Linked DNA regions of Drosophila melanogaster. The protein of the gene in region 1 purifies or fractionates together with the protein of each later gene. This does not show direct contact. Each region holds a gene or a part of one and is shown in the gene's direction. Other genes may lie near its edges.

What was found. The genes of interacting proteins can lie anywhere in the genome.
Region 2: the proteins of hay (region 1) and mrn purify together in Drosophila melanogaster (affinity purification with western blotting, with the first as the bait; one study listed by BioGRID). This does not show direct contact.

The regions. Positions count from the first base shown.
Region 1 is NT_037436.4:10,628,334-10,634,469, forward strand, and holds hay (haywire), read left to right. Parts: upstream 1-2,745; 5' UTR 2,746-2,842; coding exon of another isoform or gene 2,843-2,862; intron 2,863-3,008; exon of another isoform or gene 3,009-3,032; 5' UTR 3,033-3,074; coding exon 3,075-3,126; intron 3,127-3,186; coding exon 3,187-4,985; intron 4,986-5,042; coding exon 5,043-5,588; 3' UTR 5,589-5,636; downstream 5,637-6,136. Other genes in the region: CG14151 (uncharacterized protein), read right to left, coding at 7-120; CG42536 (uncharacterized protein), read right to left, coding at 885-976, 1,027-1,125, 1,179-1,326, 1,385-1,468, 1,532-1,663; CG42535 (uncharacterized protein), read right to left, coding at 1,767-1,828, 1,882-1,962, 2,020-2,167, 2,225-2,308, 2,370-2,558; CG34001 (uncharacterized protein), read left to right, coding at 2,843-2,862, 5,742-5,865, 5,934-6,136. UniProt on the Drosophila melanogaster protein: ATP-dependent 3'-5' DNA helicase/translocase; binds dsDNA rather than ssDNA, unzipping it in a translocase rather than classical helicase activity. Component of the general transcription and DNA repair factor IIH (TFIIH) core complex.
Region 2 is NT_037436.4:15,577,660-15,582,621, reverse strand, and holds mrn (marionette), read left to right. Parts: upstream 1-2,084; 5' UTR 2,085-2,115; coding exon 2,116-2,414; intron 2,415-2,469; coding exon 2,470-3,670; 3' UTR 3,671-3,853; downstream 3,854-4,962. Other genes in the region: CG12301 (uncharacterized protein), read right to left, coding at 1-1,268, 1,328-1,732; Ufsp2 (UFM1 specific peptidase 2), read right to left, coding at 4,076-4,962.

The DNA.
Region 1 (6,136 bases):
TCTTACATGCCTGGCAAATACCACTCCTGAGATAATTGCGAATAGCAGGGCGGATATGAAGTCCAGCAAGGCGATGCAATAGGCACAGGGCACTAAATATCCATCAGAATTTGACCCCATCGCCCAGGCTAAGATTCATCACATCACTGGCAATGTTGTCTACTAAATCAAAGCTATAATGATGATAAGCACGTACTTGGCGATTGGAGAAGGGGGTTACTCGGGTCTTGGCGGCCTGTTAATCAAAGCCGTTTGATTGCCAACATTCATGGACACAGCACAGTGGTATTCAAGCGTGGGAATGTAGGGAGACTCAGTGGCCAAAAGTACAATACACTACAGAAGTTTTCAATATATGCCAAGTTCAATGTTCCTGCGAATTATATTTAGTTTCATGAATTTTTTTGTAATTTCCGTTTTAATTTATACATCTAAATTACATGCATTTATAATCTCTTCATTCAAATACTGAGCTCTAAAAATAGCTGCCAAGTGTATTCCCAAAACATTCTAAACCAATGTGAACTGCTTTTTGCTGGCGAACTTCGTTCCTCATTTATGGCATTTGTTTTGTCAGCAGGTCCTGGAGATTGAATTGTCCTTTTTCCTGGTCCCTCGATGGCAACGTGACCACCTATCGTCCTCGCAGGCATCGGAAAATAGATGGAAAACTGTATAAGTCAATTATTATCATTGCTTATGGGGGGTCGGGAATTGATTTCCCGTAAATAGAAATCCAAATAACACATGAAGAAAACCATTTTTAATTTATTTTAGTAACTCCAAAGGGATTTTGAACCGTGTGTGGACATTGAACATAATGAAACGAACATAAATGATCATTATTAATCAAGCTTTTTGCTGTTTTTGTCCAAACTGGCATTTTATCCTTTAGAAGATCTTCCAGAAGTCCTGTATTTTGAACTTGGAGATTGGGTTTGAGTCTCATTATCTCTGTAATCTTCTGTTTTTCTATCTGAAATTTATGTATAGTATATCGTATAAATCTGTGCTTAAGCTATTCACCTTTAGTAGTCGTATCATAATTATCACCCTCCAAAAGGACGTAGGAATATAATCTCCTAAAGTATCTGAATACCAAGTATAAGCAAGTGACCTCGTAAACTGCAAAGATTTATAATTCAATGTCTAAGAATGCTATTAAATTAAAAACATACAGATTCCCAAATATGAAATGGTCCAGCGCTTTAAATGTTCTGCGTCGAAAATAGGAGATGAAGTAACATTCCATATTAAATAAATAATATCCGTAGCAGTTGCAAAGGCAGTGAACAGTAACCAAAATACGAGCAGAGTTGGTCGACTCTAATTAATACGAAACAGTTAAATATGTATATAGTTGGTAAATTTTTTTAATTCTTACTGTCAATAAACCAACAAACAGTCCACCAACGGTCGCAATCCAAGCTATTGTACTTAGAAAGGCCATTATGGTATACCAATTCGTCTAATGCAAAACAATAAATGGCTAAAAATGTTAAAGAACGTTCTTTTCAAATACAATACTTACGTGCAAGACCATGAGTGAAACTGAACTAAATGAAAAATACAATGAACGCACCAGTTCAAAAGCGCCAATAACAAAGCATGTCCTTAGGAGATTATCCGTAGGCAACTTTAGCTCTCCCGATTCAATAGACATTTTGTAAGAAATAAATTTATTCGATACACAAATGTTTGAAACAATCTAATAAATATATATTTTTTTAGTACGGAAATACAAAGCCAACTAAAGTTGAAAGATCTTATTTTTTGCCTTTCTTCTTTTTTGGGCTTTTAGACTTTTTCTTTTCGTTTTTTCCGCCACCTATATAAAATCGATTAGTAGTAAAATGTAATATTAGTTTAAAGCTATCTTACAACATAGGGTCCTCTTCTTTTTCGATTCATCCATAATCTGATAGTACCGATGTATGAAATATATGCAGGCGCTTTCAACAACTAAAATTATACTTAACATTAGAATTGTATTTGATTTTAAATTTAAATATCACTTACATATTCCAAGGAAAATTATTGAAAACTCATTAAGACGGTCCCAGTCCACAGTTATTGAGGTCGCAATGCCCCAAAGTAGAAATAGAATATCGGTTATAAAGCCGACTATGGAAAATATAAGCCAATACCTTACGAAAACTGGCTTGCGCTAATGTGTTTATAATTTTAGGAATTAATACCACTAAATAAATAAATTCAAACTCACCTTATAAAGGCCAACCATCAACAGGATGACCATTATAACCCAAAAAATGACACCCAAAAGCGCCAACATAGCAAACGCGCTGAACTATTATTGGTTTAATTTAATGATTATTAAGAATTTTGTGTTTTAATTAAACAATAGCTACCTGTTTAACCAGAAGAATCATTGCTTGAACTGTAAAATATAACGCATGCAGCAGATCGAAAATTGCTATGACGAAACATATCTTGGGCAGATTGGAATTCAAAGAATTCTGCTTCGACTTGCTATGACCGCTCTTTTTTTTCTCCTGTGACTTCTTTTTTGGCGGGTGTTTTTTCTTTTCGGTGCCCATTGTGAAGGCACAAGGTTAATTTTCCACATCCAATGATCATTAGATCAAGGCAAGTGGGATTGCATAGAGAAATCAGTGGATAAAAATTTTTTGAATTTCAGTTTGAATATCCAGTGATTCTAAAACCGTACACAGCTGACGCCACGCAGGGTGGCAAGGTGGTACTTCATAGTTATCGACCACCGATAAATCAGTGTTGCAAAAGAGACGAAAGCGGCTTTAGGCGCTCGTCTGTGTTTATACGTGATTTACCAACTATTTGCATTTCAAAATACAAAAACAGGATGCCCATTGTAGTAAAAACGTAAGTAGCTTAAAATGCAGTGAAAGTAACGATTTACATAGGGTAAAAACATGTGAAAACAAACAGCATTCTACGAGGCACTCAACTGCCGACGTTGCCATACGTGCTGTGTTACTTTAGTTGACTGAAATTTATCGAATTCCGTCGATATCTTTGTTTAATTTCTTGAGCTCTCGGATTTGTTGTGAAATTTTTGCTTGTGTTTTATTTAAATGGGACCGCCGAAAAAATCGAGAAAGGATCGCAGCGGTGGTGACAAGTTCGGTGAGTGTGGGGCACATGGAAAACCAATGAGCTTCGGTGTAATTTAAGAACTATTCCCAGGCAAAAAGCGGCGTGCCGAGGATGAGGCTTTCACCCAACTGGTGGACGACAATGATAGTTTGGATGCCACAGAATCGGAAGGAATTCCGGGTGCAGCGTCCAAGAATGCGGAGACCAATGACGAGCAAATCAATACGGATGAGTACGGCGCCAAGGATTACCGGTCGCAGATGCAACTGCGTCCGGATCACGGAAATCGACCACTTTGGGTTGCGCCCAATGGTCACGTCTTCCTGGAATCATTCTCGCCCGTCTATAAGCATGCCCACGATTTTCTTATCGCCATTTCGGAGCCCGTCTGCCGACCCGAACACATTCACGAGTACAAACTTACCGCATACAGTTTATATGCCGCCGTTTCGGTGGGACTGCAAACCCATGACATTGTGGAATACTTGAAGAGATTGAGCAAGACCAGCATTCCCGAAGGCATCCTTGAGTTTATACGACTCTGCACCCTATCCTATGGCAAGGTCAAGCTGGTCTTGAAGCATAACAAGTACTTTATCGAGTCACCACATCCTGAGGTGCTGCAAAAGTTACTTAAGGATCCAGTGATCCAGAAATGCCGCCTCATACGCAGCGAGGGAGAGGATTTCATTCAGGGAACCCTGGACGGCAAGGCTATTACTCAATTCGGGACCAAACTGCCGCCAGGAGCCACGGACAAGCCGACACCAGATCCTGCAGCAGCCGCAGGAGCTGATGGAACCACAGCAGTGCCAGAAGATATCACAGACTTCTACGAGAAGATCGACAAAGAGGAGGAGGACGAGGATGAGGCCAATCTGAAGACCGTGTCGTTTGAGGTGGCCCAGGAGAAGATCGAAGTGATTCAGAAACGATGCATCGAGATAGAGCATCCTCTATTGGCGGAGTACGATTTCCGCAACGATACCAACAATCCAGACATTAATATTGACCTCAAACCCGCTGCCGTTCTGCGTCCATATCAGGAGAAGAGTCTGCGCAAGATGTTTGGCAATGGAAGAGCCCGCTCTGGTGTTATTGTGCTTCCTTGTGGTGCAGGAAAATCCCTAGTGGGTGTCACAGCATGCTGCACCGTACGAAAGAGGGCACTAGTTCTGTGCAACAGTGGTGTTTCTGTGGAGCAGTGGAAGCAGCAGTTTAAGATGTGGTCCACAGCTGATGACAGCATGATTTGTAGATTCACCTCTGAAGCAAAAGACAAACCCATGGGCTGTGGAATTCTTGTGACCACATACTCTATGATAACGCACACGCAGAAGAGATCATGGGAAGCAGAGCAGACCATGCGTTGGCTGCAGGAGCAGGAATGGGGCATCATGGTGCTGGACGAGGTGCACACCATCCCAGCCAAAATGTTCCGTCGCGTGCTGACCATCGTTCAATCTCATTGCAAGCTGGGATTGACGGCCACACTACTGCGTGAAGATGACAAGATTGCCGATCTCAACTTCCTCATTGGACCCAAACTGTACGAGGCCAACTGGTTAGAGCTGCAAAAGAAGGGATATATTGCACGCGTGCAGTGCGCCGAGGTGTGGTGTCCCATGTCACCGGAGTTCTATCGCGAGTACCTGACCACCAAGACCTCCAAAAAGATGTTGCTCTATGTGATGAATCCCTCCAAGTTCCGCAGCTGCCAGTTTCTTATTAAATATCACGAGCAACGAGGCGACAAAACAATCGTCTTCTCAGATAATGTGTTTGCGCTAAAACACTATGCGATCAAGATGAACAAGCCTTTCATCTATGGTCCCACCTCGCAGAACGAACGTATCCAGATCCTCCAGAACTTTAAGTTTAACTCCAAGGTGAGTGCCAACTGTTCAAGAATTTTGGGAACATTTATTTAACAATACCTATTTCAGGTTAATACAATCTTCGTGTCCAAAGTGGCAGACACCAGTTTCGATTTGCCCGAGGCTAATGTGCTTATCCAGATCTCTTCGCATGGCGGCTCTCGTCGTCAGGAGGCCCAGCGTCTGGGTCGTATTCTGCGTGCTAAGAAGGGTGCCATTGCCGAGGAATACAACGCCTTCTTCTATACACTCGTCTCGCAGGATACCATGGAGATGAGCTACTCCCGCAAGCGACAGCGGTTCTTGGTCAACCAGGGCTATAGCTACAAGGTTATCACGCATCTCAAGGGCATGGACACGGACTCGGATTTGATGTACGGCACACAGGAGGAGCAGGGACAACTGCTGCAGTTGGTCCTATCCGCTTCCGATTTGGACTGCGAGGATGAGAAGCTGCCGGGCGAGCCGGGCTACCGTCCCAGTGGCTCGGGCGGCGCCGTCAGACGTGTCGGCGGACTGAGCTCCATGTCTGGCGGAGATGATGCCATCTACTACGAACATCGTAAAAAGAACATTGGCAGCGTGCATCCGCTCTTCAAAAAATTCAGAGGATAGACCTAAGAAAAGCACAAACCACTGTGAAGCATGAATAAAATTCTGAACAAACTTTAGAAACTTTCCGTGGAAACTGGGCTTACAATATTGTATTATTCACTTTTAAGTGCACCTTTACCACTGAAGTAACCCAAACCCATGATTTTATTTTAGACAAAACGCTGGCAAAGGCGATTGGGCCATTATAGAGCTGCAAGGCGACCTGGAGGTGCGGAGCAACCAGGATATGCACGGCCAGTTTATTGGCGATCTCTACTACAATAAATATGGCCAACCTGTGAGTTGTAATTGTAAAGTTATAATTTAACCAGCTCTTAAACAATCTGATTTTACTTATATCATAAGATTCTCATCATTGGACATCACATTCTTCAGGGACGTGAACAAAAGTTGGATAAACCATTTGCGGTGCTGGAAAAGTCCAAGACCAATGAGGGAGAACGACTCCTAGAAACGAGCATGGCCTCGCAGGATGTCAGTATGCTGAACGCCACCACGGGAGCGGAGCGCACAGTGCTGGATCATACGATCGCCCAGGAGCACAAGAG
Region 2 (4,962 bases), 4.9 Mb from region 1:
TTGGGATCTATGGTATCCACAGCTGGAATTTCCGTGCTTTCTGTGTTACCTTCAACGTGGGCAGGGATATTATTCTGTGAATTTTTATCCTCCTCGTAGTTAAGGGGCTCGTCAATCTCTATCTGTTGCTTTGTCTTTTTTAAAGCCAGACTTTTTAGGTTTTGCAAGACGTCCTTCTTTTTCGCCTTCTTTCCCTTGACAGGAACTTCTTTAAGTTTGTTTATCCGTTCCCTCAATTTCTCCATTTTCTTATTTAGTTTGGCTCTGATATGATCCTCGTGTTTCTCAAAAATGTCATCAATGGCTTTTGAATTCGGGCTTGCCTTGGCTTCTTTCTGATCAGTTGGGCAAATATCTTCCACCTCCCAGCCATTTTCTATCTTAACTTTCGATTTCTTAAGTTTCTTCTTAGCAGGTTTTACTTCTATTAATGGTTTCCGAATAGTTTCTTTCTCCTCCTGCTCGTCATTATCCTGGACTCCTTCCAAATCCCTACGATGCTCCTCCAGTAACTTTTCGTTTTTATTCCTTTTTGTCCAATATTGCCGCCAATTGGAACCCTCACTTTCACCATTTCCATTTTCCGTTTGCTCTGTAGCTTTTCTTTTTGTCCAAGGATTAAAGGGATCGTAGTCATTATCCTCCTCCTCGGGTAAAACTCTCTTCTTGGTGGTTTCATCTTCGCTGTCTGACACCTGCTTTTTCTGGGTCAGTTCCCTGCTAACAGCCAACTGCTCGGCCAGATCCTTTCGCACATCCTTGTCGTACTTGGCCCGTATCTGCAGATTCTTCGCCCAAGTACCGGTGTTCTTGTGCCGCAGGCTGGCACGCTCCTGCACTCGACTCTTTTCCAGGGCATTAAGCTTTTCCAGCGCCGCCTCTGGATCGGTTTTCTGCAGCAACTCGAACTCCTTCATCTGCTCCAACATTTTTTGTCTCTTCTGCAGCTTGTGGAACTTTTTCGATTTGATTTTGTTTTGCATGCGCGCCTTTGCTGACTTTTGAGACTCGCGCATCTTCAGGTAAGCTAGCTCCTTGCGACGGGCAAATAGTTCGTCCCTGGTAAGCTTCTTTTGTAGTAAAAGCCGCTCTTGCTTGGCCAGCTCCTTTTCATCCGTGGTATCCCCAATTTGCGCTTTGCGCAGTTCCCGTAGTTTACGGTTGTTAGCCTCGAGTTCTTGAGCAAGATTGGACTTGACCCGGGTGTTTAGAGGCCTGGCATTTGCCGCAGTATTTACGTAAACCGTTTCAGATGGTAGGGGGAAGATCTGTAATAAGTTTTGGAGATTATATGTGTATGTCACTGTTAGCATTGGCATTCATTCACCTGCGTCTCCGCAGATCTCTGTTGAGCCACCACAGCATCCCAACGACCGAGTTTCTTGGTAACTCCCTCGTAGCCAATGGTCCGTTTAATTCGATCCGCAGCTGGTTTCTCCAGCGGCTTCTGTAGCACCTTTTTGCTGCCATGGATGTTCTTGAGCTTCTTGCCCGTCTGACTGTGCTTGGTGGAGGTGCGTAGGATGTCTACCAGATCGTTCAGACCCACGGCTCTGGGGGCATGATCCGTTTCCGCTGACGAAACACCTTTTACCAGCTGGAACTCATCCTGGAGCGACTGCCGCTCGTCGCGCGTGGACTTCTGGATGTGCTGCACCTTGCCCAGACTGCCGATGGCCTGCAGCAGCTTCTTGTGTGCCTTTGGTTCGTAGTGCTCCTCGTCGTCACTCATTTTTGTCAGGAAAATATTTAAAATCAAATAACAATACAAAAATACTTCGCGCAGCACGTGTGCAGAATAACAGCTGAAGAGTTATCGATAAGTTTTGCGGCCCATCACAATTTCTACCTGTGCTCGATAGCATGAGTGTGGAAAATGGAGCTGCCTTCTTTTAAAAATTAACTTAAATATAATAACATTTACTACTCAATACATATATCTATGCATCAAAAATCAATTGATTTTTTTTTAACAATAAATGTACTTTTAACTCAGCGAAAACCCCCTTCGTAACGCCCTTGATGATTACTATCGATTGTCCCCCCACGAAAGACCGGCTATCGATGACAACGGGATGAAAATATTTTGTTTACGAATTCGACATTCGAATCGTCATGGCCGACACGAAATCCGGTAGTGGTCGGCATTCGGCTGCCGGGGGAAGTGGAAACGCCGTCCTGTCGCCCTTGGGGCAGGGTCCTGCGAACTTGGAGTGTAAGGACTTTCAGGAGTATCTGCGCACCCGCCAAACGCCAGAGTCGCTGGAGAAGCTGTACAACTATCCGCCCATTTGTTTGGCCGTTTTTCGGGAGCTTCCAGAGATAGCCCGGCAGTTTATCATAAGGATACTGTTCGTGGATCAGCCTGTGCCACAAGCGGTGGTCACATCATGGGGTGCCCAACGTTGTGCCAAGTATGACTGTATCCAATTGGATAAACAATATCATTGCAATGCATTACTTTTGCAGGGAGCAAGCCGAGGCAACCAGCTGCCTGACGGCTTTGAACGTCTGGCGGGTCACAGCCATTCCGGGTGGCCTTTCTGCGTGGGAGCTCTCGCCCACCTTCAAGAAAAGCGTACGCCAGGTGCTGCTGGGCGGCGGAAAACCTTGGCCTATGACCAACACGCTGGATAAGGACTCGAAGCCCAGGGACATTGCTTTTCTGGATACATACGCCATGTCCCGCTGGCGTTGCGTGTTGCACTACATGGTCGGCACCGGAAATCGCAATGGCACCGATGCGGAGGCCATTAGTCCGGACGCCGTTCGGATTCTGCTGCACGCCAATCTCATGAAACGTGATGAACGAGACGGTATCACAATAACCCGGCAGGGCTTTCAGTTCCTGCTGCTGGACACGCGAGCTCAGGTGTGGCATTTTATGCTACAGTACCTGGACACGTGCGAAGAAAGAGGAATCAGCCTGCCGGAATGCTTGTCCATGTTGTTCCAGCTCAGTTTTTCAACGCTGGGCAGGGATTACAGTTCCGAGGGCATGAACAGTCAGATGCTGACATTCCTGCAGCATCTACGGGAGTTTGGACTGGTCTTCCAACGTAAGCGTAAGGAGGGACGCTTCTATCCCACACGTTTGGCTCTGAATGTGACAAGCAAGGAGGCGGCTGCGACTGCATCTGTGGCCATGGATGAGGAGGCCACTCAGGACTGTGGCTACATTGTGGTGGAGACGAACTACCGAGTGTATGCCTACACTGATTCTCCGCTCCAGGTAGCCGTGTTAGGTCTGTTCACGGAGCTTCTCTACCGCTTTCCCAATCTCGTCGTGGGCGTGCTAACCCGCGATTCAGTGCGCCAGGCGTTGCGTGGCGGTATCACGGCAGAGCAGATTGTCTCGTATCTGGAGCAGTATGCGCATCCCAATATGCGCATGGTCGAGTCAGCCATTCACTCTAAATCCTGCCTGCCACCCACAGTCGTTGATCAAATTAAGCTGTGGGAATTAGAGCGAAATCGCTTCACCTACACCGAAGGCGTGCTGTACAATCAGTTCCTCTCGCATACAGATTTCGTAACGCTACGAGACTACGCCCAGTCGATCCACATGCTGGTGTGGCAAAATGAGCGAACTCGCACAATGGTGGTGCAAAAGAATGGCCACGACGATGTCAAGCGTTACTGGAAGAAGTACTCTAAGAGTGGTGTTTAGCCCGGTATTACGACCAATTATTGGGAAGTTATTTTAGAAGTAACATCTGTGCCCATTTTGTTACAAGCTAAAATTTTAAAATATGGTTTAATAAGGGAGTGTGGGATTACACATTTATCATCGACATTCAACATACAAGTGGAATAAAATTAAAATACACAAGTATCATACACATAAAAACAGAAAACCACCAAAGCTTTTCCTAGATTGTCCTTTAGGATGGGTCGACATGTAATATTGCTAAACGTAAAAAACAGTGAAGAGACAACTAACAAATGCATACAAAATAATTTTATTTACCCAATAAAATAGAAAATTTAGAATGTCCTATACGTTATACCTAAAGAAAGCATATCGAAACATCCTCGCCTACCTAAATGCGAGTGGAAAAGAAACTAGCTCAACCTAATACAAAATGGGACGCTGGGGCATGCAGAGATTGTAGTAGCTGCCCTTGGCCCAAAAGTCCATGCCCTTCCAGCCGCACCAACCTTTAATTTGAATGGTGGCCAAATCATCGGCACCTGTATAATGGGGATCCAAGATGAGGAACTTCACCTGACCCGTCTGCACGCAGTAGTCCACCCCGATAATGGTGTGGGCCAGAACACCGCCACCAATCATTACCGGTGTACCTTGCGTTTGGAAATGCATCGCCAGCTCGGAGGCAATAGTCGCCAGCTCAGCTCCAGAGGCTACGTGCAGAATTTTTGAGTCCACGTTAAGGAATCCCTGCAGACACATGCTGATTTCTGTGGAACCAATCCACTGAGAAGAACCCACGAATGCAGCAGGTTTGTCGTTGATCTTGTGAAGGTATTCCTGCACCTCCAGATGCGTCGGAATCGGTGCGTTCGTATAACCCTGCAGCACAAACCAGGAGCAGATCGTCTGCAGCGAGCGATATGCGCATCCCCATCCCTTGTCCTGCACCTGCTGTTGCAGGTAATGATAGTAATGGTAGTTACCATTTACTAAGTACTCTTTGCCGTCGACAACTCCACTGGGACGTAATCCGATGTGGGTATTTAGCAGCGGAGTCCATGGTGCGTCCTCCGTTTCACCTAGGAAAAGCATCTGGTTGGCCCTGCGGAAATAAGGACGACTGATGGGCAAAGCAAACTGTCGATGCAGGCGCTTGCGTCTCATTAGCATGCTTGGTGTATCGTCACTCAGACCTTCCAGATAGGCGCAGCTCACGAAGTGACCAAACTCTTGTGGGTAGAAGTGATAGCTAGCGGGCACCAGCAGCTTTCCACTTCCCGACTCCGTGAGATGCTCAATCAGGCTCA